Canis lupus familiaris: one gene and its partners. The protein of the gene in region 1 interacts with the protein of each later gene in a pairwise test. Links are inferred from orthologs where the notes say so. Each region holds a gene or a part of one and is shown on either strand. Other genes may lie near its edges.

Region 1 (4,060 bases):
AGTTGAAGCCCAGATCCCTAACCTGAAATGAGTTTATCCTATCTCTGGGCTAGAGAACCCCTGAAACTACGTAGGAATGAGACCTCCCTGCAAAACGAGAGCACCTACCTACTGCCAATCTCTTAAATTCAATATATCCAAGGTCAGCTACCCTAACCTCAGCCATAACCCCCATAAAACTAACCCTAATCCCTAATATTAACCCTGACCCTAATTTGGTTCCTGTTTCCCAACACTGGCTTTGACATTCATCCCTTTCCTGGCAGACACCCGTCCCCAATCCTTGATCCCTAATATTGATCTACTTTTTACCTCTAGGAATGAATTTCCTGACCTTAACTCTAAATGTTGATCTCTAAGCCTAAAACTGTTGTCTCACTTGACTTCTGATCCATCCCTTCGCGATTTATCCCTAGTTCCATGCTAATGTTCTCTAATCCCTAAAAAACTGGACTTCTAATTTAAATCCTGTGTTGACCCTTAAACCGGCCCTGAACCCTAACTTTGACTTACGTTGGCCAGAAACAGAATAATGACCTAATCCAAACTCTACCTACATAAAACGGACCCGACTCACACTGGTAACTCTAAATGTCAACTCCGGTTTTTAACTCCGTAAGCTAACCTTTAATTCCTAAACCCAACTCTACCTAATTCCCAAACTCACCCCCAGCTTTCCTACCCGCATACTCACTATCAGCTAACCTCAAAGCCGATCCCCGCCCTGCGCCTCACTGTCACCCAACTCCTCACCCTCCCCAAAACTTATTCCAGACAGAGAGGACTTGATCCCAGGAAAGGCTTGGCTCCCTTAAAACGACCTACTTAACTTCCGATCCCAAGCCGAGATACACTGGACGCTGACCTCTCCAACAGGACCCGAAACAGCGGACGCAAGGGCCCCGCCCGCCCTGCCACCCGCGCTGCCACCCGCGCTCGCGCTCGCTTCCCGGTCCTGGCCGTGCGGCCCCACCCTGAGGCTCCGGCTCGGCCCGGTCCGGCCTACCTGCGCTGCCCGGCTCGTGCCCCGCCCGCCGGCCCGATAACCCGCTCGCTCTCCCGGTGGTAATCGGGCTTCGGCCTCGCCCTCCCTTCGACACTCTCTCGGCCACTTCCGTCCCCGGAACGTCCCCCACCCGCGGGCGGCGCCCTGGGCCCGCGCTCTATGGTTGTGGGGGCAACAGGAAGCTGCTCTGGCCCCAGCTCTCGATGCTCGGGAGCCGGCCTTAAAAAGGCGCCCCCCCCCGCCCCCCGGCCGGCTCCCCCGGCAGGAAACAAGGGTGCGGCGCAATCCGGGAAGACGCCCGAACTGCGCGCGAGTTCCCCTTTGGTCTCTAACCCTTCCTTTTTTTTCAGCCTGGGGCCGAGGCGGAGGCGGCCTCCCAGATTGCCCGCCCTCAGGGTGTGAGGAGGCCGCAGGGACGTCCCCTCTATTTGCAGAGCTCCCGGGACGTGGCGCGCCGCGGCTAGGCCACTTCCGCGTCGGAGGGAACTCCAAATCCCGTGGTGCCTCGGGGGTGTGCGCGTCACTTCCGTGGTGTTGGAAGTTGCGGAGAATCGGGTCTTGGGGGCTGGTGCAATTTCAGAGCGACAGGTCCGGGCTTGCGGATAGGTCTCTCTGTACATCTTTCCGGTTGTTATCCGGTATGGAGCTGGCGTTGGACTTGGGTGACCAGGACCTGCTGGATTTCCTGCTAGAGGAAAGCGGCGATTTGGGGGCCGGGCCGCCGCTTTCCGAGGTGGGTGGGGGCTGCGAGCCGGGGAGGCGCGGGGATCCCGGGAGAGCGTTCATGGGGTGGTGGGTAGTTGATAGGTCAAGGCTTGTTTATTTGAACCCTGTGCAGGCGTTGAGTGAATGGGAGGCAGAGGATTTCCTGAGTTCCATGCTGAGTCCCCCAGCATCGTTGAACGTCCTTAGCTCCTCTGATTCCTGTCTCGTGCACCATGATCACACCTACTCTCTCTCACAACAGCATGTTTCCATAGATCTAGGTGAGTCTGAAATATGATGAGGAAGAAAGTGAGGTTTGAGGGGAGGAGAGGCTTCGTGGGTCTGGCTATTTATACTTTTCGTTTTGCAGATGGTGGGAGCTATGGAAAAGAAGAGGCCCAGACGACCCCACTGCAAGTGGAGGAGCCCGCAGAGCAGGTACTTGATTTATGGCGGGATCATTCCCACATTGCGCGGGTGGGGGCGGATTCCCCATTCCTTTCTGTCATCCCCTTGCAACTCTGCTGCCCACCTCCTGGTAACTAATCCCAGGAGATTGCTAGGCTGATACTGACAGATGAAGAGAAGAGGCTGTTGGAGAAGGAGGGGCTTACTCTGCATGGGACGCTTCCTCTTACTAAGGTAAGACTCCCATTGGTGGGAGTGAAGGCTGGAGGGATGTGTTGTGGATCCCAAGTGTGCACTTCTGTTAACTTTATGTCAGGAAGGACTGAGGTTAGAAAACTTGGCAAATTTGTTGGTAATAGGAAGCTGGAGCATGATGTTAATATGGTGGATGCAGAGGCAGATCCTGGTTTTGTGGGGCTCATACAAGTTTTGGTGTTTTCTTTGAGAAGAATTCAAAATCATCGATGCAACATTAGTGTAGGGTCTTGGAAGGGACTGTGCAAGCAAACTCATGGTAATCCACCTGTAGCTAAATGGTTAGAGTTCATCAAGGCTGGACTAAGTAATATAGCAAGAATAATTGTAAAATCCCAAGTTTTAAGTTTCAGGCAATGAATAGCAGCTTCACAAGCACAGTATTGTGGTACTGTTGTGAAACCAACACTACAGGAAGGTTGAGAGAATTTTCTTAAAAGTACAAGATGGGTTAGTTTGAGATGACAGAGAGTGGGGTTTGAAGGCTGTATCAGTAGAGGTGTTGCCTCTAGAAGGGCAGTGACCATCTTCTTCTCCATTATACTGGCCAGAGCACATCTTAGTGTCTAGTTTTGAACCCAGATCTTTGACAGATATTAAGAGGATGCAGTCCATCCCGAAGAGAGGTGAGAAGTTAATTTTTTTTTTTTTAAGATTTTACTTATTTATTCATGAGAGACACACAGAGAGAGGCAGAGACACAGGCAGCGGGAGAAGCAGGCTCTATGCAGGGAGCCCGATATGGGACTTGATCCTGGGACTCCAGGATCGTGCCCTGGGCTGAAGGGAGGTACTAACCTGCTGAGCCACCCAGGCATCCCGAGAAGTTAAAATTTTTGCCCAGATCTTTTAACTCTGAAGAAATGTTAAATGGCTTAAATTAAAGACTGTTCATTCTGGGATCCCTGGGTGGCTCAGCAGTTTAGCACCTGCCTTCAGCCCAGAGCGTGATCCTGCAGACCCGGGATCGAGACCCACAGCAGGCTCCCTGCGTGGAGCCTGCTTCTCTCACTGCCTGTGTCTCTGCCTCTCTCTCTCTGTGTGTGTGTCTCTCATGAATAAGTAATAAGATCTTAAAAAAAAAAACAAAAAAAAAACCTTCATTCTATATGGTCTCAGAGATAGGTACCAGGTAAGTTCAATTGATAGAAATCATAGAGGCAGATGTCGGTTAGCTTAGGATAAGGAAAATTTAAAGATTTTTTTTTAAAGGTTTATTTATTTTAAATCTTTTTTTTTTTATTTTTATTTATTTATGATAGTCACAGAGAGAGAGAGAGAGAGAGGGGCAAAGACAGAGGCAGAGGAAGAATCAGGCTCCATGCACCGGGAGCCCGATGTGGGATTCAATCCCAGGTCTCCAGGATTGCGCCCTGGGCCAAAGGCAGGCGCCAAACCGCTGCGCCACCTAGGGATCCCGGTTTCCTTATTTTAAAGAGAGATTGTGCTTGTGCATGCAAGCAGCAGGGTGGGGCAGAAAGCAAGGGAGAGAGAATGAAAATCTCAAGTGGACTCCCTGTTAATCACAAAGCCCAACGCGGCACTCCATCCCATGATCCTGAGATCATGACCTGAGCTGAAGTCAAATCAGGAGTCAGACTCCTAACCAACTGAGCCACCCAGGTGCCCCAAGATTTTTTGTTTTGTTTTTATTTTTAAAGATTTTATTTATTTATTCATGAGAGA
Region 2 (4,229 bases), on another chromosome or scaffold:
CTCTTGACGAATATTTTTGAAAGCTCATTCAGAATTCCTAGTTTTATTGCTCAGAATAACATAACTCATTATCCATACCTGCTCTATCAAGTATTCAAAAATCACATGTGAGGCCAATGATTTGTATAGTTCATGTAAAACATTTCCATCACAGCATAAAGTTCTACTGAATAGTGCTTATGTAAACATCTTAACAATTACATTTCTATGAAAATATATAAGCACTGTAAAGGGAAAGAAAGAAAGAGAGGATCAAAGGGCAATACTCGGGGATCCCTGGGTGGCGCAGCGGTTTGGCGCCTGCCTTTGGCCCAGGGTGTGATCCTGGAGACCCGGGATCCCACGTCGGGCTCTCGGTGCATGGAGCCTGCTTCTCCCTCTGCCTGTGTCTCTGCCTCTCTCTCTCTCTCTCTCTGTGACTATCATAAATAAAAAAAACAAAAACAAAAAACAAAAAAAAAAAGGGCAATACTCATAACAAGGATATTCTCAAGACTTTCTGTAGAGCACAAATAAAAGAACAAAGAAAACTGTGAAAAGTTGTGTCAAGCACTACTCCCAGGTACTACTACTGTACACACTGCAGAATCCTAAGACTCTCATTAAACATAAATCTCATGCTCTATAAATCAAGCATGGATAGAGCAATAGAAATAGTCAGTTTCACCTTCTTAATAGTGTGTACTGGCATAAAACAATGGACTTAACTCTACCCCTTACCCCAAAATATAAGTACCCAGAAGAGCAAGGTTTTGTCTGTGTGCTACATTAGTCTAAGTACTGGGTTATGTAATAGGTGTTTAACAAATATCTGAAGACTGAATGAATAAATGTGTCTATTTCCTAAGAACACAAACCTAGTCTGAGAATAAACATTACCAATCCTCAGACACTACATTCCAGTGTCTTCTTTCAGATCCTAAATGTACTGGGCTTATTATTGCCTTAGGGCCTTTGCTGAGTGCCATTTCCTATCCCTGGAAGGCTCTTCCCATGATCTTCACATGACTGGCACCTTTATACAAGCAAAGTCTCATGGCATGCTAGGTAAGTCTTTGGTGACTTCGGATCTGCAATGAGAAGTTACCACCCCGGCACTCTCTGTTGATCTAACTTCCTTTATCATCATGCTACTCACCACTCTAAAATGATCTAGGTAGTAAATTGCCTTCTATTCCTACTTTGGTGATATAAACACAAGACAACCTTGTCAACCTTGCAGAGTCCACAGTATAAGGCGCATAGTGGATGTTCCATGAATGGGGAGACGATCATTCCATGATAGACATGAGTGTTCTCTATCTAAACCAAATTAACCGAATTCTTTAGCTCAGCATCCCCATCTGTTAAATTTTTATACTATTTGGTTTTACTCACAATACCAAGGGTTACTTTTCACCCTTCCATACACTAAACTTTAAAATTAAATGGAATCGCAGCAAACTTTACTCAGACTTACTGCAGATGTTTTATATATTTATTTTTCCATCCTTAGATCTTGGCTAAAGTTTGATATCCTAACTAAAATGAGGATATAACTCTACCACTGGGAGCAGCAGAAGTAAAACATCTGAAGGAAAATGATGCAGACATTCGGAGGTACTGTGGTATCATTTTAACATCTATGGAAAGTCTGAAACTAGACCATAATTCTTAATTAGTCACCGTCTGAGACAAACTTCCCAAAGCGGCCTTCAATGCAAGGCGGTCCACATCCCAAGACACGGCTGAACACTGCTACAAGCCCCTGCCCTGCCCGGGTGAGGCTAAGGCTCCTGAAAAAATGTCCACCTGCAACATTACTCAACAACAGAGCCCTTCAGAATCATTTTCTTCCAGATTCTGTGAAAGTTTTAAATTATATATAGTCATAGCCAAAAGACACTGATCTAAATCAAACAAAAAAATCAATGTATCTATAGGAAAGCCAAGCAAATACACGAAACCGGAGAGGGAAAAAATATATAGCATTTGACCAGAAAGGTATTTTTCTTTGTGTCTGAATTTTTAAAAAGCAACAGCCTAAAACACAATAAGGGGGGGTGGGGTGGGGGGAGGAGAGGCGGATCTTGAAATACTTTACACATTCTTAAAGGTTTTGGGTAAATCATTAATGACATACACTGAGATCAAAGAAAAGGTAGCGTGTCTTGAAGCCAGACAGAAAACCAACCGCAAGGAGCCTCCGAAGGGACAGATGTTACACGGTTCCTTTACTCTCGAGCCATCCAGTTTCAGTTCCTCTGTGTTAGGGAAGAGAGCTTTAAAATGTGTTTTCTAACTCCATGCGTCGTAAAGAGGAAGCGACCGCTCGGTGACCCGCTCCGGGCAGCAGCAGCAGGACTCCCGAGCTCCGCCCCAGCCGGCCCCGCCCCGGGGCGCGCAACCCGCGGGGGCACCGGAGCCAGCGCTCGCGGGATCGGCGGGCGCGGGGCCGGCGGGATGGGCCGGGGCGGGCGGGATGCGCCGGGGGGGGGGCGGGATGGGCCGGGGCGCGGACCGCGGCGGCGCTCCCGGTTTGGGCAGCGCCCGCCCCCCCGGGCTCCCGACCACAGCCGCAAAGCGTAAGGCGGCGGCCAACTGGCAACGCGCACAGACGAGGAGGCGCGGCCGCCGCGGGGACTTAGTGCCTCAAGAACGCGGGATCCGACCCCCCGCCCCCCAGGCTGCTCTTACCCCGGCTCCTCCGCGCCGCCTCCTCCTCCTCGGGCCAGCCGCACCCACCGGCACCCGACCCCCAGCTACGGTTCTCAGCTGATGGGCGGTGGCACTGGGACGCCCAGTGCGCATGCCCGCGACCCGGCTCTGGGGAGGAGGAGGGGCTCGTCCCCCTCTCGTTGGCCAATGGGCTTGAGTGACAACCATTCTGCCCCGCCCCCTCCGAGTCTGGGCTAAGGAATGGGGGCGGGGGACCAAAAAAAATTTGCAAAGGAGGTGTTTTTCGAGGCCTAGCCTTACAGACGGCAAAAAACCAGAGGAGGGAATGGAGAGCAGCTGCGCTGATCGGGTGATGGCGGCCCCCCCAGGCTCACGCCTTCAGCCTGCCCCATCAGGGCCTGCCCAGCCTGTCCTTACTCTGCAGTGGAACGTATCCACAGCTCCATTAAAAAATGGTAACGCAAATAAGCAATGCTAGCAGGAACAAAGACAGCATAAGTGAAGAGTCACCTTCGTGTGCCCATTTAGTAGACTAGTTTTCATAGCACATGCACGTCGTTCCAAGCATCCTTGAAGGGTAGAGTGTTGTTTCAGCAGGGTTTGAAAAAAGCAGAGAATGTTCTACTGGTAACTATTAAAACATAATGTAATTGTTAGATAAATGCATCAGTTGCATTGGGTGAAAGAAATACTCAGCAAATTAATTAGAAGATAGAATGGGTTGGCCTTTGCCTGTATTAAGGCAACACTATTATTCTGAAAGGATCATCAGGACATGAAATGTCCAGATGCACTTAGGTGAAAAAAATCAAAACGAAATGTCTTGAGTTGGTACCATCTGAGCCAACTCTAGGTTGTTTAGTAGTGTACATACATATGTGCCTAAGAGAGTGAGGTCAGACAGGAATAAGAAACACAAGGGTCTCTCAGTTTGTTTTTAATTGTTCTGTTTTTAACAGAAAAAAGGGGAACCAGAAATATTTCCTATTTCACATCTTTCCTGAAGTAAACTGCAGTACAAGTGTTTTAATAGACAGCCACCTTTATTCTGCTTCTAAAAGGGGGGCAATAGAGTGGGTCTGCTGGCCAAGCAAAAGAAATTCATTCCTTCTAAAGGAAACAGGAGGACAGCCTGGGTGGCTCAGCAGTTTAGCACCACCCACGGTGTGATCCTGGAGACCTGGGATTGAGTCCCGCATCAGGCTCCCTGCATGGAGCCTGCTTCTCCCTCCGCCTGTGTCTCTGCCCCTTTCTCTCTGTGTCTCTCCTGAATAAATAAATAAAATCTTTAAAAAAATAAAGGCAGCATGATTCAGTTAGCACTGATTGCAGACTTTCGGAAATTCAGATTTTTATGTGAAATCCCTTTTTTCAATATTCTTAAACTTTTAGAAAGCATTATTTGCTCAGATAAAGTATTTCAGCTTCTATAAGGCAATAGTTTCAGCTATAAAGTATAAAAAAAAAACAAACGAAAAAAGCTGGAGGAGGACTTACAGAAAATCTAGTTCTACTTCCTCATTTGGGAAATAGATTAAAGGAACTGAAAGCCAAAGAAACTTCGTCAAAAG
Region 3 (3,543 bases), on another chromosome or scaffold:
GCCTGGAGAGTCTAGAGCTCACAGCCCTTTGAACCTAGTGCTTGTTTGAGGAAGGTGGTCCCAGCGGACACCTGAAGGCACGTGTCCCACCTGGCCGGCCACCACAGGGCTCAGCCTGGCCAGCTCTGGAAGGCAGCAGGGCCCTCTGCTGACCAGAAGCCCTCTGACATGTCCCCAGGGCAGTGACTGCTGCTCTCACTGTCCAACACTGACAAGCCCCCAGAGAGCTCCCTCTGGGAAGCAAAGATCAGGACACAGCCTGAGGGGGGTTTCAACAAAGCAGGGCTGGGGCTGAGCTCCAGCTGTGAGCAGGCACAGCCAGGTCCTAGGGGAAGAATGGGCGGGAGCTGGGCCCCAGAGGGAGACTTGTCCACACCAGCCCGTCTCTCCCCAGTGCCCCCCGGGCTAGGCCAGGCCCCGTTGGATGGGCCTAGCAGCTGGGGGGCCAGTCTGGGGAGCAGAACGGCAGCGGGCTAAGGCAGACACACGTAGGGGACACAAGTAATGACGGCATGGAGGGTGGCCGGGGTAGATGGCGCACATCCCGGGTAGGGCTGCTTCCTTGGGCCCTCTGCATAGGCCTTGTTCCCTGATGGCCTGGCACCTGGAGCAGTGGGGACAGCTTATGGTGGTGGAGGCAGCTGTGGTCTCTGCCCAGCTCTCAAAGGCAAGAAGCTCCCCGAGGGCACGGTAGGGGGCAGGCCAGCAGGAATGCTGGTGGGTCAAGCTTAGCCCTAATAACCGGGTTTGGGCCACGGCTAACATGGCAGGACCGCATCAGACAGGCGGACAAAGAGCCCCATGGGACAGAGGAGAGCCTGCCCTCCCCAGCTGCTTAGCACCAAGGCCCTGGGGGTTACGGGGAGAACCTGGGAGCATGGGCCAGGCCCGTGAGAAGTCCCTGGAATGGCCTGTCCAAGGTTCCAGGGAACTGAGACAAGTACCCAACTGTCTACCCGCTGCCAAAGCTGCTGTTCTGGGTACTCGAGGAGCATCCTGGGAGTGCTGTGGGCTTCCACAGAGAAGAGAGAGATCGGGAGGGGCCTGGGCAGTGGTAAGAGACCCTGGGCAGCAGGGCACAGCTCTGTCCCAATGGCAGGTGAACAGAGGGGGCCCAGGTGGCTCAACCTACAGGGTATGTTCCTGCCTGGAGAGCCAAGAGGAGGCTCCCTCTGACCAATGCCCAGGCCCGGGTTGACGTGCCTCCCATCTGAGCACAGGCCCAGCATCTCCAGGGGAAGTTCCTCCCAAGCCTTCAGCAGATCCCCGGTGGTTCTGCTAGTGCTGTAATTCTGGAAATGTGCACAGCAGTCTGTTTCTGGCCAAGCCAGGCCAGCTGTGAGAAGTGGAGCCAGATGGGCTGTCTGCATAGCTACTGCAGGCCCTTCCTCCAGTCCTGTGGCCTGGGTCACCCCTGAGGCTACCTGCTGTCCCTGCCAGTCTCCTTGCTGCTGGCTGCGGTCCAGGGCCAGGAGATACCAAGCTATAGAGAGGAAAAGACAGAAGAGGACTCCAGGTGTAGGGACAGGCGTACAGGGACTGCTGGGAGCCAGGCAGGGGCTCCTCCTCTTCCAGGCTGTCCTTCGGGGTCAATGCTCCAGGCCTTGTCCTTGCAGGATGTGTCCACACAGAACCAGAGGGCGAGCGGGAAGCTCACATTACAGCTCCCCCTCCAGGGTGTCCGTGAGTTTCTCCTCATCTGCCTGCTGCTTCTGCTGCTGGATCCTGGCATAGGAGATTGCATCACCCCTGGGAGAGAACGAGTCCACATCACAGTGAGGACAGACCCCAGGCACACAGCCCTCCCAGCCACCACCAGATTCCTGGCCTGTGACCAAAGCATGACCTGCAGAAGAGACTACTGGGCCTCTGGTTTCCCCAGAGACCCTGTTGCTACGATGGCACACATATCACCTCTAAGAGTGGCACAGGCTGCCTGGGATGGTGGGTGGAGAAGGACTGAGAGTTGCAGTCTTGATTCTGAGGGCAGAGGAAGAAGCTCCCCCAAGCCAGACTTGCCATCCCCACTATCAGCTGCGGCAAGGTACAGCCGGGCCACCAGAAGCCCATGAACCCTCTCGCTCTCATTCCCTAGAGCTGAACACCCTGGGAACACTGACAAAAGTCACTGACAACCTCTGTGCCTCAGTTTCCGCAAACGGCTAAGGGGGGCCTGTCTCTGACCTTCCTCCCTGAGAGACTTCAGATTCCTCCCAGGGGCTGGGAAAAACATACGTACTTTTTGCCCAGAGCAGACAGCCCGTACAGTACCCCGGTGGCAAATGCAATGGCGTTGCCCAGCAGCGTGGTTAGGGTCAGGCTGATGACAATGGGAATGATGGCCATCCTAGGAGAGAGGCAGAGGTCAAGGGGGTACCCCCATCCTGAAGCTGCCACCCCACCTCCAGGCTCCCCAGACCAACCCCGGCCCCCTTCCCAGACAGCCAGGTACAAGAAGGGTCCCTAGAAATCAGTCTGGACATAGGTTCACCAGCAGGCTTCAGAAACACCCATGCACCTGTCCGCACAATTCTCTGTATTTTCTGGGGAGAGGACATAAAGCCTTCATCAGATCTTTGAAAGGGTCTGTGGCACACAAAGGGTGAAACAACCCTGGGACAATCCACCCTCCCTGTTCCTAAAACAGTTCACCCTCTACTGGCTTAGCGACTGGCAAGTTCCTGAACTCCTCCCTGTTAACTACACAACACAATGCCCGGATCAGCAACATCAGCACCAAACATATGGTAGCTCTTCATGCTGCAGAAAAGCCAGCCCCGTCTCACTAAGAAAGATCCCAGAGCTTAAGCTGCAGAAGGCGTGGGGCTTCCTAGTTGCAAGGTTCCCAGCAGGAGCAGCCCTGGCTCCATCTTGTCCCCTGACCACAGTCTGGTGCCACTTGGTGGCAGGTGTCCACTCGGGCTCCAATGTCTCTAGGGCTGACTCCACACGCTGGCTGGGATTCCCAGACCAGGGGCAGTGGCTAGGGTGAACCAGAGGACCAGCACTCCGTCCTGTCGCTTCCCTGGGCCAGGCTGCCTCCCCAGCAGCCCCACCTGCCCTCACACACCCTGTACACAAAGAAGGTCAGACTGGGCCACCAGACTGGCCAGTCGAATTCCACCTGACTTTCTATCCAGAACAGACAAGTAAGTGATCGTGAGGTTTTACTGTGGTTATAAAATCTCTAAGTAAAAGCATAATAGAAATGACACACACACAAGAAGAGCACAGAGGAAAATCTTCTGTCAAAACAAAGGCAAACCAGCTGAAAAAATATTTGCAGGAAATATAACAAAGGATTAAAAAATCTTCACTGCAGGAAATGTAGGAACTTGCAACGTAAAACAGTAAGATGCCATTAATGAATGTCTCCCATTAATAGGTAAAAAGTAAATTAGACCATTTTCAAAAAAGAAAATGCAATTAGCAAAAACATTTGGAAGAACAGGTCAGTTCCTAAACAACGGACACAACTGTAAAACGGTGCATGGCCCCGGGAGGGTTTGGGCCATGGAGGTGGTGGAAATGCTGAAAACCTTT
Region 4 (3,543 bases), about 32 Mb from region 1:
GTCTAACTGAACCACTGGGTTTAGTGGCCTCTAACAGTCCCCCAAACCCAATATATCTTCTTGTAAGCATACTGAGGCAATGAGGAGAAAGGGGCCTGTTTAAAAAATAAATAAAAATAAATTTAAAAAAGATAGTAGAAAGCCAAAAAGAGAAGCAATAGAGATCAGTGCCCCAGAATTCAAAGGAGAGAGAACATCAGGAAGACCGGAACAATGAAGGTGCCAAATACTACTGAAAAATTAAAGAACATTATCCCTGAAACTCATCCACTGGCTTAGCAGCTGAGTGGCCACTGGTGACTTGGCAGAGGCAGGATCATTGGAAAGTGGGCAAAGAGGCCAGACTCTGCGTGTTCAGGAGGACTCGGGAAGCAAGGAAGTGAAGAGCATGTGGATGACTATCCAGCAGCCTAGCCAGGTTAGGCTAAGCAAGAGATCATTGAACAGCAGAGACTCAAAGGGCCTTGGATCCTGAGGGAGGGGTTTGTAAGATGAATAAGAACCCAGGGTGTGTGTGAGCTCAGGGGGAAGAGCCAAGTGGGGTAGGCCAAGAATGAAATGGGTATAGGCTTATAACTGAGGACACACAGGACACAGGGCTAAATCCAGAGATCAGCCTTTGTCAAAAAGAAGTCAGAGGGTGTGGGGACAGAAGCAGGTCTAGAAGCAGATCTAAGTGGTGCTCTGGGGGCAGAGGCCAGGACGTCCTGAACAGCAGCCTTGGGCTTCTCTTAGAAGAGAAAGGAGAAGGTGTGAGAGGAAGAGGAAGGAGCTGAGGGGAGATGGCTGTCATGGGGCGGTAGGGGGTGGGGGAAGACGGACCTGGCACCAACTGGAAACCCAAAAGAGCATCACTGCCAACAGTGATGGTGTGCCTGAGGGTAGAGACCACAAGATGGCAGTGGCTCCAGCCCTATCCAGACGCCATAGGAGACACACATGCATGGATGGGCAAAGCCTGAGGTGGTTAAGGTACCTGGAAGTTGCCCTTTGGAAATTGTGTCTGGATCCAGCTTGTATGTGTCCTGAAGTCTCATCAGGGCCTTGGCGGCTCCCATTTCGTCCTCGTCCGTGGGGAAGAACTGCCGCTGCACAGAGAGGTTGGCAATAAAACCTTCCAAATGAGAGTGAGAACAGGAAGTTACCCTTGATCCAAGGGCACAATTCCACCTGGGATCAGAAAGGTATCCACGGGACAGTTTCTCCCTGCCCCTTCCCTCAAAGGCTGTTTCCCCTTCCTCCAAGAAGCCCTCCCTGATGACTCCAGTCCATGGAGATCTCTTTCTTCCTCCTCACTGTACGGAATGCCTGTACTACTCATTTGGAATTGAACAAAGATGGCCCCACAAACTGGTTAGCAGGTCTGAGAGTCTTGGCTCCAAAGTGCTCAGTCAGATCTGGAGGAGATAGAAGGGACAGAGGACAGAAATGGTAATTGAAAAGGACTCAGGGAAGATCTGTTGATCACTTAATGGAAAATGAATCACATGGAAAACCTTGATCCAGGATCATTGCAGGGGGCAGAGGGCCAGAAAAAACAGACCATCCGGCCCACATTCCAGGTCAAGAAGCCCAAGTGACAGAGGTGATTAACTCAGGGAACCTAGCTAGACACTCATTATTGACCACTGGCACTTATCATCCAGAAAGGTAATGATGACAGTCTCAGAGGGGATCTGGTGCTGTCTCCACCACCCAAATTAAGGACTAGGGGACCATCTGGCCAGAACAAGCACTGAGGTGGGCTGCTCAAGCCCTAGCATGGTACCGTGAGAGATCACACTAGCTCTTGTTCTTGCTCTCAAGAGGACTCCTACTACTCAAATCTGCAATGAATTCAAAAGGCATGAGCTCTCTGAATGTAGTGCTCAAGACCATAGCCTGGAACCTAGGCTAGTCCCTGACCAAAGAAATATCCAAGGAGGCTGTTCGAGGACTCCAAGCCCTGGCTCTGAAGCAAGACATGCACTCTTATAATCTCAGGACTCCAGGTGGAGGCCAGGCCCTCTCAAACTGATTCAGGGGTTTTAATTCTGACTGTGAACTAAGAATTGGGAGGGGAATGCCATGGCCCCTTCTTTCCTGGCCTCTTCCTCAGGGCAGCAGCACCCACAGCCACCTACTCTCAGGACCTCAGGCTCAAACACCCACTTCAAACCATGCCAAACCCAGGCACCAAGAAGCTGTAATCCTGCTTTTCTCCTGGCTGCACAGTCAGGGATTCTAAAGAGTCTGGAATTCAGGAAAAAGAAAACATGCCCCCAGAAAAAGCCACACCGTCAGCAAGTCCCCCTTCATCTCAAGTCGGAGGTAAAAACAACCTATTGCTCTCTGGGCCAGTCCTGTCTGCCTTCTGTTAATTATAAGGTTTTCTAAAAGAACCAGATGTTGACGGGGGCTGAGGGGGCGGGGGGAGGGGGGGGAGCTGGTGGTGGAAAGCAAGACCAGGGAGCGGAAGGTCATCCCGGAAGGCAGGCTTATTCTACTGCAGTGCAATGCCTGCCCGCAGAACAGCCAGTTCTGAGCTACAGCCCCAGGCTGGAAGACAGGGGGCTGGGAAAGGCAGCCATGGCTTCTGGAGGCGGTGAGCTCACTGGGCACAGTTCCAGCCTGGCTGAACTCACCAATCCCTCCCCAGAGGCCACCCTGCCCCCAGCCAAGCCCAGCCCAGTCTGGCCACATGGGCTGAACTGCCTCAGCCAGAGACAACTAGTCTGAAGTTAATCAGAACTCCCAACTCGGGGAGAAGAGTCACTGAGTTCAGGAGACTGAGCCCCAGGCTGGAGTCAGGAGGGCCCGCAAACATGCCTGCCTGACCATCTCCTGCTGAGAGGAAAATGTTAGAGCATAGAAAAATACCAGCATAGTCAAAGACATTAAGCACAGTTAAACTTTGAAAAATTTCATACTCTGACTTCCAAATACCACTTCTAGGGATTTAAACTAAGAAAAATAATCAAAGGCAAGGCATAAAGATGTATATGCACAATTGCTGATAATTTACAAACCCCACATCCACTAACTTGACCAGTTTTTTTTGTTTTTTTTTTTAAATTTTTTTTTAAATTTATTTATGATAGTCACACAGAAAGAGAGAGAGAGGCAGAGACATAGGCAGAGGGAGAAGCAGGCTCCATGCACCGGGAGCCCGACGTGGGATTCGATCCCGAGTCTCCAGGATCGCGCCCTGGGCCAAAGGCAGGCGCTAAACTGCTGCGCCACCCAGGGATCCCCTTGACCAGTTTTATACTATATCTGCATGACTTTACCGTACAGCCATTAAAGTCATGTCGTATAACATTTAATGGACATATAAAGAAGCTGAAAATTTCAGGAAAACACTGTATGCTTATGGCACAAATCTGCCTACAGATAGGTTTTCTCTAAAAGTTATGAATGGGAATGGATTTAGATGAGACCCATAATCCCTGGCTTACAATGGCCCCATCACCCAGCCTGACTCACTTTTTGTTAATTCATTTGGTCCCTCAAAGCAAGTGAGTCTGCATTTCCTGCAAAATATGAATGGGTCCATTTCTTCTT
Region 5 (3,177 bases), on another chromosome or scaffold:
CGCCCGGCTGCTGGAGCAGGTCTGCACGAGGCTCTGAACCCAGCGGTCAGAGCAGGCCCAGGGGTGCAGCGTGTGACCCCAGCTCTGCAGGATTCATTTAACCCCTTTACCCCGGAATTCCTATGCAGGAAAAGAAAAACATGACAGTCCTAGGTGAAAGGTGTTGTTTTGGGGGGAAAGACATGGAGAACTCTGCTCTGTGAAGGAACAAGAGGATCTCCTTCAGCCAGTTTCTGTCCGTCTGCTAATCAGCTGAGTACTGGCCGTTTGTAGGAGGGGAAAATCCCACTGGGTTCATGCAGCCACGTGAAAACACAAGGACGATCTTGTTCGCCTCCTACTGGTCACTCGGGGAGCTGAGGAAATAGGGCGCGCGTCCGTGAGCCCCCTGAAATACCTGCCTCCCTCCTTCTTGCCTCATAAAGCATGTAGGCATGCGGATTACCCTGAGGTCACCTGAACAGGACAGTGACTGCTGACAGGTGGTGGAAAGTACCAGTAAGATGCAAAGAAATGAGCATTCTGCAGAGACTCATCTTTGATGGACTTTAACGTGAGTTATTTTATTTAAAACAGGAATCCATCCGAGGTGGTGAACTACCAGGGCAAAGGTTCTAGAGCATGGCACACGTGAAAGGTAATACTCACCAGCACCTGACATGGGACTAAAGGACAATGTCAGCCACACACCAGGAAGGAAAACAGAATGTCAAAGGCACCTGGCTGGGAGAGGAGCCATGGCGGGCGCTGCCTCTGCAGCAGGTTCACTTCTGCGCGCTGTGGACACGTCGGGACAAACGACATTTGGAACGGACGAGAAAGGTTCTGATCTGAAGCCTGGGGTCCTGGGTGGGGGGCTGACTTGTCCTCACATGGGTTTCCACCCACCGCGTCCTAAGGAGGGGGGCATGTGCTGGAGGGAACACACTCTCCCCGTCTCATCTGCAGGCGAGGGGCGCGCCCTCCCCAGTGCAGCTTCAGCAGTGGCCTCTCACTTAAAACCAAAGAAGCACGACGATAACACGAGACAGAACAGCAGCCTGACCCGAAACCAATCCGCGGGATGGGAGAGGCAGGTCCCTAACAACAAAAACCCGTCACCAGCTTGAACATTGGAAGGAAGGTGTGCCGACGACCCGCAACCACAGGACACCCACGCACGCTGTGGGCCGGACAGCTGGGCGCCAGGGCCGTCCCTTCCCGCGGAGCTCTGCGCCCCTACCAGGGACCACATGCCAAGTGCCGAAGCTGGACGAGACCCCGCATTGGCAAAGGATCCCAGGCGAGGACCTGCCGGGCGTGACCAGGTCTGCGGGAAACAAGACTCACGCTGTCCAGTGATGACCCCAGGCCCCTGTGCTCGTCCGGATGGCACCACCTCTTTGCCCTCGGCACAGGGAGGGCCACACCACCTGTCCACCCTCCCAGTTCTAGGCACTCTCCGGGACGTCCACGTGAACCAGGCTCCTTCATTTCTTTCCAAGTCCGTTGGTGACTTTCGACTTGGAATGCCGATTCCTTCTTCTGGAAGAGTGGCTCTCGTGGTTGCCTGGGTGCTTGGGTGGGCTGTCTTCAGAACCTGGCGGAGGAAGGAAGGAGAACACGCCGTCAGGGCTGCAGGGCCTGTGGGCTGGGCCTCAGATGGCCTCTCTCCGCCCAGGCCGCCCGCCGCTGATCCTTGCACTCCATCTAGTGGCTCGTGGCGGCTGGTGGAGGCACCAGGGCCGGCTGCAAACCCCGCAGGCAAGCAGGGCAGGCAGCCGCTCACCCCGGGAAGGGCGAGGGGAGGGGCGTCCTGAAGAACTTGCATGCCCTAGGCCCTCACCGGTGGGGGTGGGAGGGTGGGGGTGGGAGGCCTTATGCTCCCTGTGCTGGGGCGGGGGTGGGGGGTGGGGGGAACACATCAAATCCTGGCATGAGGCAGAATGATGAAGCCGCCGGGCGTCTAGGGGCCTCTCCCAACCAAGGAGGCATCACCCGAGGTCCCGCCTTGACCCGCAAGCCCCAGGGTCTCTACCTCCCTACACTGGAAGGTTCTGGACTTCACAGGACTAAAGATCTCCTGCCCTCTATCGGGGCCCAGAGCACACTTTGAAAAGTGGGCCTCTTACTGCTCAGGGCAGCCCCGGAGCCTCCCACGGGGGATGCCACCCCCCAGGATGCTCAGTCCCCGGGGCATCGCCGGTCACACTGTGGTGGGCCGAGAGCTCGCAGGACAGGCCTCCCAGGACAGGGGGTGGGGGAGCGCGCGGGGGGCCGGGGACGCGAGTGGGTCTGCGGACAGGGTTCTCTGCACCGGGGCTCAGGCCTGGGCCCACCCCAGGGCCGCCGCTACGGGAACCCCAGAGAAGCACGAGCTCTGGTCTCGGGGGCAGGGCACCAGCTGCAGGGCTATTTCTGTAACTGCTACGCCTCCCTGTCACAGGGACGCGTGTGCGGCACTGCCTGCTCGTCGCCGCCTCTTGGGGAGCAGGGCTCGGCGGGCCAGGAGCCAGGGCCGCCCTGCATGGGACCCCCGCCCACCTGCACCGGCCTGCAAACAGGTGTCCACCCGCCCCTGGCCCAGGTCTCGCGGGGCGCCCCCCGCAGGAAGAAGCGTGAATCGCGCGGCCCAGGGAAGCCTGGACAGCCGCCCGCAGGCCTACCCCTCCGTGGCCTCACGGCCTCCTGCGCTGCCACTGTCCCCTCGGTCCAGCCCCCGGGTGGCTCTGAGAGCCTGCGGGGGGCGACTGCACAGGGGCACCTCCCTGGCATCGGGCCCGAGCCTGCCCGCCGATGCCGCCAGGCCCACAGCTCCCCAAGGCCCTGCAGAGGCCAGTGGAGACCCCGGCTACGGCCAGCAGCTCTCCTCCCCGCACGTCGCTCCTGGGCCTTGGCAGTCAGGACGGCCCTCAGGATGCTACAGGCTCCAGGCCCCCGACATCCTCCCGTCACAAGGCGCAGACCCACGGGGCGCCTCTCCTCAGGAAGCCAGGTCCCCGCGGGGTCCGGCCACGACTGTGCAGGCCCCGGGGGCGCGTAGTGAGGACGCGACGGGCAGTCTGGGGCCTCGGGCGAACGCTTGCCAACACCAGGGGATGAACCCGGATCCGGATCTCCGCGCTGGGCCTCGAGACGAGCAGGGCCCAGCAGGGGGCTCAACACGGGCTGAGAAGGACATACCTTTTGAACCTTTCG
Region 6 (4,225 bases), on another chromosome or scaffold:
GGCACCGTCTTGCCCTTTCATGCCGACTTGCTCCTCCACGAGGCCGTGGACAAGGCGGGCTCTGGAGCCAGAGCGCCCAGGTTCACGCCCGGCGCCAGCGCTCACAGTCGTGCAACCTCACAAGAGGTCCCTAACCTCTCTGGGCCTCGCTGTTCCCCCCAGTGTAAGAGGGTGAGCAGCAGCACCCCCTCCCAGGGGTGTCATGAGAACTAACGCAGAGAATATGGAAACAGGGCCTGTCCTACGGCAAGTGCCGCCGAGGGCCCGTTAAATAAATAACCCCTCGTGTCGTACAGTCGGGACAACCGAGGCGCAGGATGGGGAGACGTGGGCTCAACAGCACCTGGGAACCGTGACGTTTAATAAGTTAGTGCACCAGACACTCAGGAGGCAGGGAGTAGGCTCCCGACAACACTAGGCCTCATCCTGACGCCGCCTCTTGAGCTGTTTGATCAGAGGCGCCCAGTAAATATGGTGAAGGAGGGAAGGACAGGGGATGAACAAATGAAGGAAAAGAAGCCCTGGCACAGATGGCGAGTTGGCGATTGAGTTGGCAAATGGCACCGGATGGGCCGAACAGGTTTGGAGAATGAGGACAGGGCTGGAAAGCTAAGCTCGCCAGGCGCGGGAGGAAGCCTCCAACAGGCAGCGTGAGACCCACGCGAAGGGAGAAAAGCAGCTCAGAGGAAACCGAAACGATGCCGGAAGCAGAAGAAAACTTCCCAAAGCCCCTGCCGAAGAAGACAACCTATAAGATTTACAAGATGATGTGGCCTCCATGAGAAAGGAACAGAGGCCAAGAGAGAGCCTCCGGGTGGGAGAGACCGAAGAACAGAGGCCAGAAGAAGAGTGAATCAGAGAAAGGTCGCAAACAATAAAAGGGAAAGACCACGAAGAAGGAAAGAGGATGGGAAGGAAAGGAAATCAGGAGGTCGGAGTGGAAGTGCACCCTGAGGGACAGGCGTCCTAGAGAGAGGAGAGACTGCGGAGGGGCGGCCACAGGGACAGTCGCCCGGGAACTCACTGGAGAAGGCGCTGTCTCGGAGGCTGGGGTTGCTGGGCACCGGAGCCGGTGGGACCGCAGTGCCGGTGGCTGGCGTGCTGTCAGGAAGCACCTCCCTGAGGGGGAGTCGAGGGGCGGTGAGTGAGGACCCCCCTCCGGCCAGGGTCCCCACCAGCCCGCCCACCAGGCCACTCACAAGTAGCCCTCGTTGTGATACTCCTCCTCCTCGTCCTCGTCGTTGTCCTCGCAGGAGAGGTGCTCTGGGGTAACGACACAGCGATCAGGGCGCAGGCCAGGCCCCAGCCTCCCTGCAACCAGGGCCCCCGGGGCCCCAGACGCACCCTCGTTCTCGTAGCTCGCCACACTGTTGGCTTCGGAGAGAGAGCAAGAGGGAGACAGTCAGCTCAGAGGGGGTCTCGCCTCTGCCCAGCCCCAGCCGTCTGAGCCCGGCTCCACACTTACCACCATCTGAGTCCTGCCGGGAAGATGGCATGCGGTGGGAGCCCCCGGGGGGCTGTGGGGACCTCCTGGGAGTCAAAGGTCACAGGTTATGCTGGGGTGGGGCTCTGGGACAAGCGGATTGTCACAGGGAAGGGGACCCCCAATCTACAGAGGTGAGCCGGGTAAAGAGGGCGTTGTGAAGGGGGAGGATGCTACTTACGGGATGGGAAGCAGGTCCGGCTGGCTCAAGGGTGGGTAAGAGGTAACAGGCCCATAGGATGGGGCCGATGGCCAGGGCACAACTGTAGCTGAGGACACAGGACCAAGCACAAGGAGTGACTCCAGACATCTTGCCCCTACTCTCATTGAGGCCTCAAAGGATAGACTAGCCCCATGAAACCTCCTGTGCCCTGGACAGGCCCGAGGACACCCATCTCCCTCCCTAGTCCCAGATCAGGTCAAAGCCATGTGGGCAGCCACGGTGGAGGGAAGGCAGGAGGGGGGACCTGAACAAAGGCACACAATCTCTCATGCGCCAGGGACCCTCTCTCCTACACCCAAGGGAGGGGACCCTCCAGGTACTCACGAGGTCTTTTGATCACAATGCTACTTGGGGTCAAGCTGGCAAGAGAGACAGAGCTTGGTCAGGGGCAGGAGAGGCCCCAGCTCCCATCCCAGCCCCCAGGGTCACACAGGGTAGTGAGGGAGCCACACAGGGCCCATGGACAACTCACCTATCAGAGGCGGTGCTGTCATAAGAGCCTGGGGAAGAGAAGTCAGTGAGGCAGGAAGAGGGGTGGCGAGGGGAGAGGGTGGGAGCGCAGGGCTCTCAGGTCTCACACACGCAGGACAGAGGTAGGATAGAGCAAGGGGGTCAAGGAGGGCCGAAGATCCCCGAAGGCATGTCCTGAGAGCGGTGTTACCCGGCAGCCCGCACTCACCTGGCAGCTCTCGGCAGCGCACGCACAGCACTACGGCCAAGAGGGGCAGCAACAGGAGGCCCAGCATATAGGGGATCAGGACGACGGCCTCCATCTGCAGCAGAGCTTGGACCAGGCCTGGCTGCCTGCCGCCCAGCACGCTGAGCTGCGGCAGGGTGTGAGCTGGGCCAGCACGGGTGCGGGAACCCAGTGGGCACCAGCCTGGAAGCCTGACTGCGGGCCGGCTGTGCCCTCCTTGGGCACTCCTTGGACCCCCTGCCCCTTGCCGGGCCTCGCAGGGGTCGGCACTGCCTAGGGAAGACCCGTGATCCCAGGGCAGACCGACCAGGGTCTGGGCCGGAGTCTGGGGCGCCAGTCACCCCTGAGCGGCCCCCGCGCCCCAGCCCTACCTGCCCCTCGGCTAGGCGCCTGCCTCTCAGAGCCTGCCCGCCTGTGGCAGGAAGCTGTGGTGAGCCCCGGGTGAGGGCAGGAAATCATCGGGCTCAGCCGGCTGCCCCCGCCCCCTTCCCACCCCCACCCAGCCAGCGGGGAGGGGGAGGAAGAGGCCTTTGGAGCCACCCCTGGGTCCTCAGGAGGGGTCTGCTGGCCTCCGGGACAAAGAGCTATTCCTACCAGGGAAGGAGGGCAAGATAGTTACAGGCCACCCGACAGCCATGGCGTCCACAGCCAGGACTCAAGGGGGCAGCCAGGAGGGAGGCCCGGACGCTGGGAATCAAGGGGCACGGGGCAGTACCCACCCTACCTTACCCTGGCTGGCCTACCAAGAGGGGCAGGCTCGAGGGGAACCATGGGCGTGACTCACAGTCACACTGAGCTACTTCACTCCGCACTCTTTTTCACCCGGCCCAGGAGGGCAGGGATTTGCCCAAGGTCCCACACAAGTGACCCCATAGCCCCAGGAGTCCTGGGGCCAGAGTAGGGGCATCCCCTGCAGACAACCAGAGGTCAGTAACACCCACAGAGACTCAGGCAGGCACTCAGGGTCTGGCTACAAATTTTATTCAGTTACAAATAGCACCGAGCCCCTGGGGCTGCTCCAGGGGAGGGGAGTCCCCCTCCCAGACCCCCCAGAACCTCCCCACCCTGCCCTTGGCTGCTGCCTGTGTAGTGTGTGGGAGCCGGAACATGGCCCACAGCCACTCCTAGAAGCCAGGCCAGGCCGAGGGTTTGCGCCTGGGCACCTTCTGGGGTGGGCCTGGGGCCAGCTGCGGTACGTATGCAGGTTGGTGTGCGATGGTCCCTCAGATAAGCACACTGGACACAGGGACCCGGGTGGAGCGGCCTCGCTGGGGTACCACAATTCGGTCATCTGCAGGTCCAGCCTCACGCAGCAGACCTGCCGAGGGAGGGGTCAGAGCCAGGGCTGGATAAACAAAAAGACACAAAAACAGGGAGGGGACAGAAAGGCAGTGGAAAGTGGACAGGGCCAGCAGACCCACCAGAGCCATGAGCACAGTGGGATATCAGTTCGTTGGCCAGGCAGACCCAAAGCCGAATGAGGGAAGGGCTGTGGGCTCAGGGAAGCCAGGGACACGGGCTGGGACAGATGGACAAGCAGGCAGTATCCTGAAGTCGGCAAGGAGCCACGGGCGGACAAAGGGAAGGCCCCACTGACCCTGCACGTGCAGCTGGGCCCGCCGGCGGTCGCCCTCGATGAAGATGGCAGTGCCCAAGAAGGCTGCCCCACCCAGGGCCCCCACGAAGGCGCAGAGCATCAGCGAGAACTGCAGGGCACGGAACTCGGACAAGAAGGAGGGGGGCCAGCTCCGGCGGAGGCGGTCGGAGATCTGCAGAGAGACGAGTAAAGCAGTGCCAGGAGAATGAGCCACAGAGAGGGAGC
Region 7 (3,985 bases), about 2.5 Mb from region 1:
AAGGAAAATTAACTCAAAGTATGGAAAAACAGACTAAAATAATTATTTACTTCCTTATACCACTGGCTGTTGGGTGGGATGTCCACTTTCAACCAGTAGCTGCCAAAATCAACAATGTCAGGGATAATGTCAGGGATACAAAAGGTGACAGCAAAGTTGAATTAGAGTTTAATTTTACCACCATAAATAAGTATCTAATACCACTTTCTCAGAAAAATTTGCACAAGACTTGGTAGCACAGTAAGAAAGTAGATACACTTGGATCTCAATGTGAACTCCTTCAACTCCTAACTCTGTGACCACCAATAAATCACTCAATTTTTGTAGGTCTCATTTTCTACTACACATTTAAATTAAGGATTTGGAGTAGTTTCTACCTTACAGAAGTAAAGAATTAAATAAAGTAACACATGTCACACCCTCAGCAAAATGCAGGGCAGAAAGTAAGTACTCAAGTGTTACTTAATAGTGTCACTACCATTATTATATTAGTCAATGTCGTGGCTTGTTGAAAGCAATTTTGAGATAAGAGTGTTCATCACTTAAATTGATGTAATTTAATGACCTAAGAAAATGTCCAGAGACCCTGAAAATAAAGACAGCTCTTAAATGAGTGACTTTCTGTAGTGTAAAGCCCAGAAATGTCACTTTTAAATTAAACAGTGTGTTAAAAGTACATAGTGGTAGTTCAGAAAGGTGGTTCTTGAATATTACTCATTAAGCATACCACCATCTTTTATGGTGATCACATGGGGTTAGATGACCAGTTAGAGGCTCCTTGTGTCTTCTAGTAGTTGAGTGTAGTGTTATCCTCTATAACCTCAACCTTAAAAAGCAGATAGGTGTTCTTAAATAACTAAAGTTACAGAATTTTCACTCAAGTGAATCCTTCTATCATTCTGCAAAACCTAAGCAAAGATTTGCCTCTTTAAGAATATCCACTGGAAAAAGGACAGTCTCTTCAATAAATGGTGCTGAGAAAATTGGACAGCCACGTGCAGAAGAATGAAACCAGACCATTCTCCTACACCATACACAAAGATAAACTCAAAATGAATGAAAGATCTAAATGTGAGACAAGAATCCATTAAAGTCCTAGAGAAGAACACAGGCAACACCCTTTTTGAACCTGGCCACAGCAACTTCTTGCAAGATACACCTATGAAGGCAAGGGAAACAAAAGCAAAAATGAATTATTGGGACTTAATAAAAAGCTTCTGCACAGCAAAAGAAACAGCCAACAAAACTAAAAGACAACCTACAGAATCGGAGAAGATATTTGCAAATGACATATCAGATAAAGGGCTAGTATCCAAAATCTATAAAGAACTTATTAAACTCAACACCCAAGAAACAAACAATCCAATCATGAAATGGGCAAAAGACATGAGGAGAAATCTCACAGAGGAAGACATAGACATGGCCAACAAGCACATGAGAAAATGCTCTGCATCACTTGCCATCAGGGAAACACAAATCAAAACCACAATGAGATACCACCTCACACCAGTGAGAATGGGGAAAATTAACAAGGCAGGAAACCACGAATGTTGGAGAGGATGTGGAGAAAGGGGAACCCTCTTACACTGTTGGTGGGAATGTGAACTGGTGCAGCCACTCTGGAAAACTGTGTGGAGGTTCCTCAAAGAGTTAAAAATAGACCTGCCCTACGACCCAGCAATTGCACTGCTGGGGATTTACCCCAAAGATGCAGATGCAGTGAAACAACGGGACACCTGGACCCCGATGTTTCTAGCAGCAATGTCCACAATAGCCAAACTGTGGAAGGAGCCTCGGTGTCCATCGAAAAATGATGGATAAAGATGTGGTTTATGTATACAATGGAATATTCCTCAGCCATTAGAAACAACGAAAACCCACCATTTGCTTCAATGTGGATGGAAGTGGAGGGTGTTATGCTGAGTGAAGTAGGCCAATCGGAGAAGGACAAACATTATATGGTGTCACTCATATGGGGAATATGAGAAATAGCGAAAGGGATTATAAGGGAAAGGAGGGGAACTGTGTGGGAAAAATTAGAGGGAGACAAACCATGAGAGACTCCTAACTCTGGGAAACGAACCTAGGGTGTGTGAGGTGGGCGGGGGGCGGGGGTGGCTGGGTGACGGCACTGAGGGGGGCACTTGATGGGATGAGCACTGGGTGTTATACTCTGTTGGCAAATTGAACTTCCATAAAAACAAATGGGGGAAAAAAAAAAAAAAGAGTCGCCTCCTTCTCGTCACACTTGACAGCGACAGGGCAGGACTCTGCCAAAGCTCCAAGTGCTCCTGAACTCCAGAGCTTCCAGCCCAGGACTCTCGGGACAAGTTAGCGAACCTGCTAAGCCTAAGTCCCGGTTGAACCTGGTTCTCCTCCAAGGAACCGCCTGGCCTTGCCGGCCCAGAGTGATGTCAGTCCCTGGTGTGGCCACAACGGGCAGGAGGCGCCCAGCAGCCAGGCTGGGGGTCGCAGCAGGGCGCGAGCATCAGCGCCGGGGAGGCCCCTCACTCACCACGTTCTTCCAGGGGGTCTGGTCCCGCAAAAACTTATTCCAAAATTTCTCCATAGGCCACACCCGCTGCGGGGGCAGCACCGGCTCCCGGGGGCTCAGCTCCTGGTCCTTTAGCCATCGCCTTCTCAGCTGTTGGAGCTGCTGCAGACGAAGCTTCTCGTCTGGCGTGTACCCCGCCATGTCGCCGCCGGCACCAAGGCAGGACCGGGCGCGTCCCCGGCCAGCGTCAGGTCACTTAGGCGCGCAGCCAGCCCCGCTCCGAGGCGACCTTGCGAGGACGCCGGGAGCGGCGCGCCATTATGACGTCACCACGCTCCTGCCCCTGCCGCTGCCCCTGCCCCGGCTGCAATCTGCGCGCGGCGGCTGGGCTTGCGCAGTGTCTCCGCGGCGATTACCCGCGAGCCGGGTGGCGGCGCGTCTTAGCTGTGGGAGAAGGCGAGGCCGCGTGACCGGAAGAAGGAAGCAGGGGAGGTCCCAGGTCGGAGTGGCGTGCTCGGCCCTGGGAGGACGAGGGTGTGATCCGATGAATGTGAGGTCCAAATGCAGATTCTTCAGCCCCTCGCCCGCCTTGGTGCTCCTCTTCCCCCGACCTGGAGAATGCGGAGGACGGTACTTCCAAGTTTACGCCCCCAGCTGTGTGAGTAACTAGTAAAGTGACCTTGGGCAGTCTCAGTCCGCTCCCTCATCTGGACGGCGGAGGCAGAAAGAGTAGCTAAATGTCTAACAGAATTTGGCACATTCATGCTTTGACCCAGCAATCCCGCGTCGAGGACTCTATCCCAAAGATACGGTGGTAAAAATATGAAAAGAATATGCAGGCATATTCACTGAAGCACTATTTACAATCAAATGCTGGAGATTATCCCCAAATTCCTCAATAGTGGACTGGTTGAATGAATTATGGTGCAACACTGGAATGAGGTGCTCTATATGCAACCGTGGAATGATCTCTAGAATATATTCAGTGAAAGAAAACTAAGTGGAGGGAAGTGTATATAGTATGCTACCTTTTATCCCAAAAGAGAAGAGTGGTAGTAATACTAAATATACATATATGTTTGCTTATATTTTAAAAATAAAAGGAAGGAAACTATTGTTTTGTTTTAAAATGCTACCAGTAGGGGAGGAAAGGGAATAGGAGAGAGGAGACAGGGATAGAAGGTAGGCGTCTCTGAATATATCCTATGTAATCGATTTAGTCTAAAGCAATGTAAACATTTTATTATAAAACAATTAAATTTACAAAATCTCCTCTAGAAATCAAAAGTAAAAATACATGAATCTAACTGATCTGCTACATGGCATAACCTCCAGAACACACACCATTTCAATTAGTTTAATCCATCAAATTACTATACATCTGTATAGAGAGAGACACCTCAGAGAAAAAGGAACTGCCAAAAAAGAATCTTAAACTGTTTTAGGTAATTATATTGTTGGTAGTGGTGGTATTATTAATCTGACACTGAA

Evidence for each region.
Region 2: the proteins of CREB3 (region 1) and STX7 interact in a two-hybrid assay, tested with the Homo sapiens proteins (2 studies listed by BioGRID and IntAct). The two-hybrid records come from large-scale screens. The link is inferred for Canis lupus familiaris from reciprocal best matches to the Homo sapiens genes CREB3 and STX7.
Region 3: the proteins of CREB3 (region 1) and CACFD1 interact in a two-hybrid assay, tested with the Homo sapiens proteins (2 studies listed by BioGRID and IntAct). The two-hybrid records come from large-scale screens. The link is inferred for Canis lupus familiaris from reciprocal best matches to the Homo sapiens genes CREB3 and CACFD1.
Region 4: the proteins of CREB3 (region 1) and P4HA2 interact in a two-hybrid assay, tested with the Homo sapiens proteins (2 studies listed by BioGRID and IntAct). The two-hybrid records come from large-scale screens. The link is inferred for Canis lupus familiaris from reciprocal best matches to the Homo sapiens genes CREB3 and P4HA2.
Region 5: the proteins of CREB3 (region 1) and PTDSS1 interact in a two-hybrid assay, tested with the Homo sapiens proteins (2 studies listed by BioGRID and IntAct). The two-hybrid records come from large-scale screens. The link is inferred for Canis lupus familiaris from reciprocal best matches to the Homo sapiens genes CREB3 and PTDSS1.
Region 6: the proteins of CREB3 (region 1) and LAT interact in a two-hybrid assay, tested with the Homo sapiens proteins (2 studies listed by BioGRID and IntAct). The two-hybrid records come from large-scale screens. The link is inferred for Canis lupus familiaris from reciprocal best matches to the Homo sapiens genes CREB3 and LAT.
Region 7: the proteins of CREB3 (region 1) and NDUFB6 interact in a two-hybrid assay, tested with the Homo sapiens proteins (2 studies listed by BioGRID and IntAct). The two-hybrid records come from large-scale screens. The link is inferred for Canis lupus familiaris from reciprocal best matches to the Homo sapiens genes CREB3 and NDUFB6.

The regions. Positions count from the first base shown.
Region 1 is NC_049232.1:52,553,994-52,558,053, forward strand, and holds the start of CREB3 (cyclic AMP-responsive element-binding protein 3), read left to right. Parts: upstream 1-1,250; 5' UTR 1,251-1,646; coding exon 1,647-1,739; intron 1,740-1,844; coding exon 1,845-1,992; intron 1,993-2,081; coding exon 2,082-2,149; intron 2,150-2,263; coding exon 2,264-2,353; intron 2,354-4,060. UniProt on the Homo sapiens protein: Endoplasmic reticulum (ER)-bound sequence-specific transcription factor that directly binds DNA and activates transcription. Plays a role in the unfolded protein response (UPR), promoting cell survival versus ER stress-induced apoptotic cell death.
Region 2 is NC_049222.1:25,723,754-25,727,982, forward strand, and holds the start of STX7 (syntaxin-7), read right to left. Parts: upstream 2,811-4,229; 5' UTR 2,677-2,810; intron 2,343-2,676; exon of another isoform or gene 2,123-2,342; intron 1-2,122. UniProt on the Homo sapiens protein: May be involved in protein trafficking from the plasma membrane to the early endosome (EE) as well as in homotypic fusion of endocytic organelles. Mediates the endocytic trafficking from early endosomes to late endosomes and lysosomes.
Region 3 is NC_049230.1:49,930,081-49,933,623, reverse strand, and holds part of CACFD1 (calcium channel flower homolog), read right to left. Parts: intron 2,348-3,543; coding exon 2,240-2,347; intron 1,750-2,239; coding exon 1,659-1,749; 3' UTR 1-1,658. UniProt on the Homo sapiens protein: Transmembrane protein which mediates synaptic endocytosis and fitness-based cell culling.
Region 4 is NC_049232.1:20,528,433-20,531,975, forward strand, and holds part of P4HA2 (prolyl 4-hydroxylase subunit alpha-2), read right to left. Parts: intron 1,115-3,543; coding exon 977-1,114; intron 1-976. UniProt on the Homo sapiens protein: Catalyzes the post-translational formation of 4-hydroxyproline in -Xaa-Pro-Gly- sequences in collagens and other proteins.
Region 5 is NC_049250.1:41,482,688-41,485,864, reverse strand, and holds the end of PTDSS1 (phosphatidylserine synthase 1), read right to left. Parts: coding exon 3,163-3,177; intron 1,580-3,162; coding exon 1,470-1,579; 3' UTR 538-1,469; downstream 1-537. UniProt on the Homo sapiens protein: Catalyzes a base-exchange reaction in which the polar head group of phosphatidylethanolamine (PE) or phosphatidylcholine (PC) is replaced by L-serine. Catalyzes mainly the conversion of phosphatidylcholine.
Region 6 is NC_049227.1:18,622,995-18,627,219, reverse strand, and holds the start of LAT (linker for activation of T-cells family member 1), read right to left. Parts: upstream 2,839-4,225; 5' UTR 2,480-2,838; coding exon 2,386-2,479; intron 2,207-2,385; coding exon 2,179-2,206; intron 2,066-2,178; coding exon 2,031-2,065; intron 1,753-2,030; coding exon 1,665-1,752; intron 1,531-1,664; coding exon 1,466-1,530; intron 1,375-1,465; coding exon 1,200-1,374; intron 1,120-1,199; coding exon 1,025-1,119; intron 1-1,024. Other genes in the region: SPNS1 (protein spinster homolog 1), read right to left, coding at 3,627-3,721, 4,001-4,172. UniProt on the Homo sapiens protein: Required for TCR (T-cell antigen receptor)- and pre-TCR-mediated signaling, both in mature T-cells and during their development.
Region 7 is NC_049232.1:50,060,031-50,064,015, forward strand, and holds the start of NDUFB6 (NADH dehydrogenase [ubiquinone] 1 beta subcomplex subunit 6), read right to left. Parts: upstream 2,810-3,985; 5' UTR 2,696-2,809; coding exon 2,516-2,695; intron 1-2,515.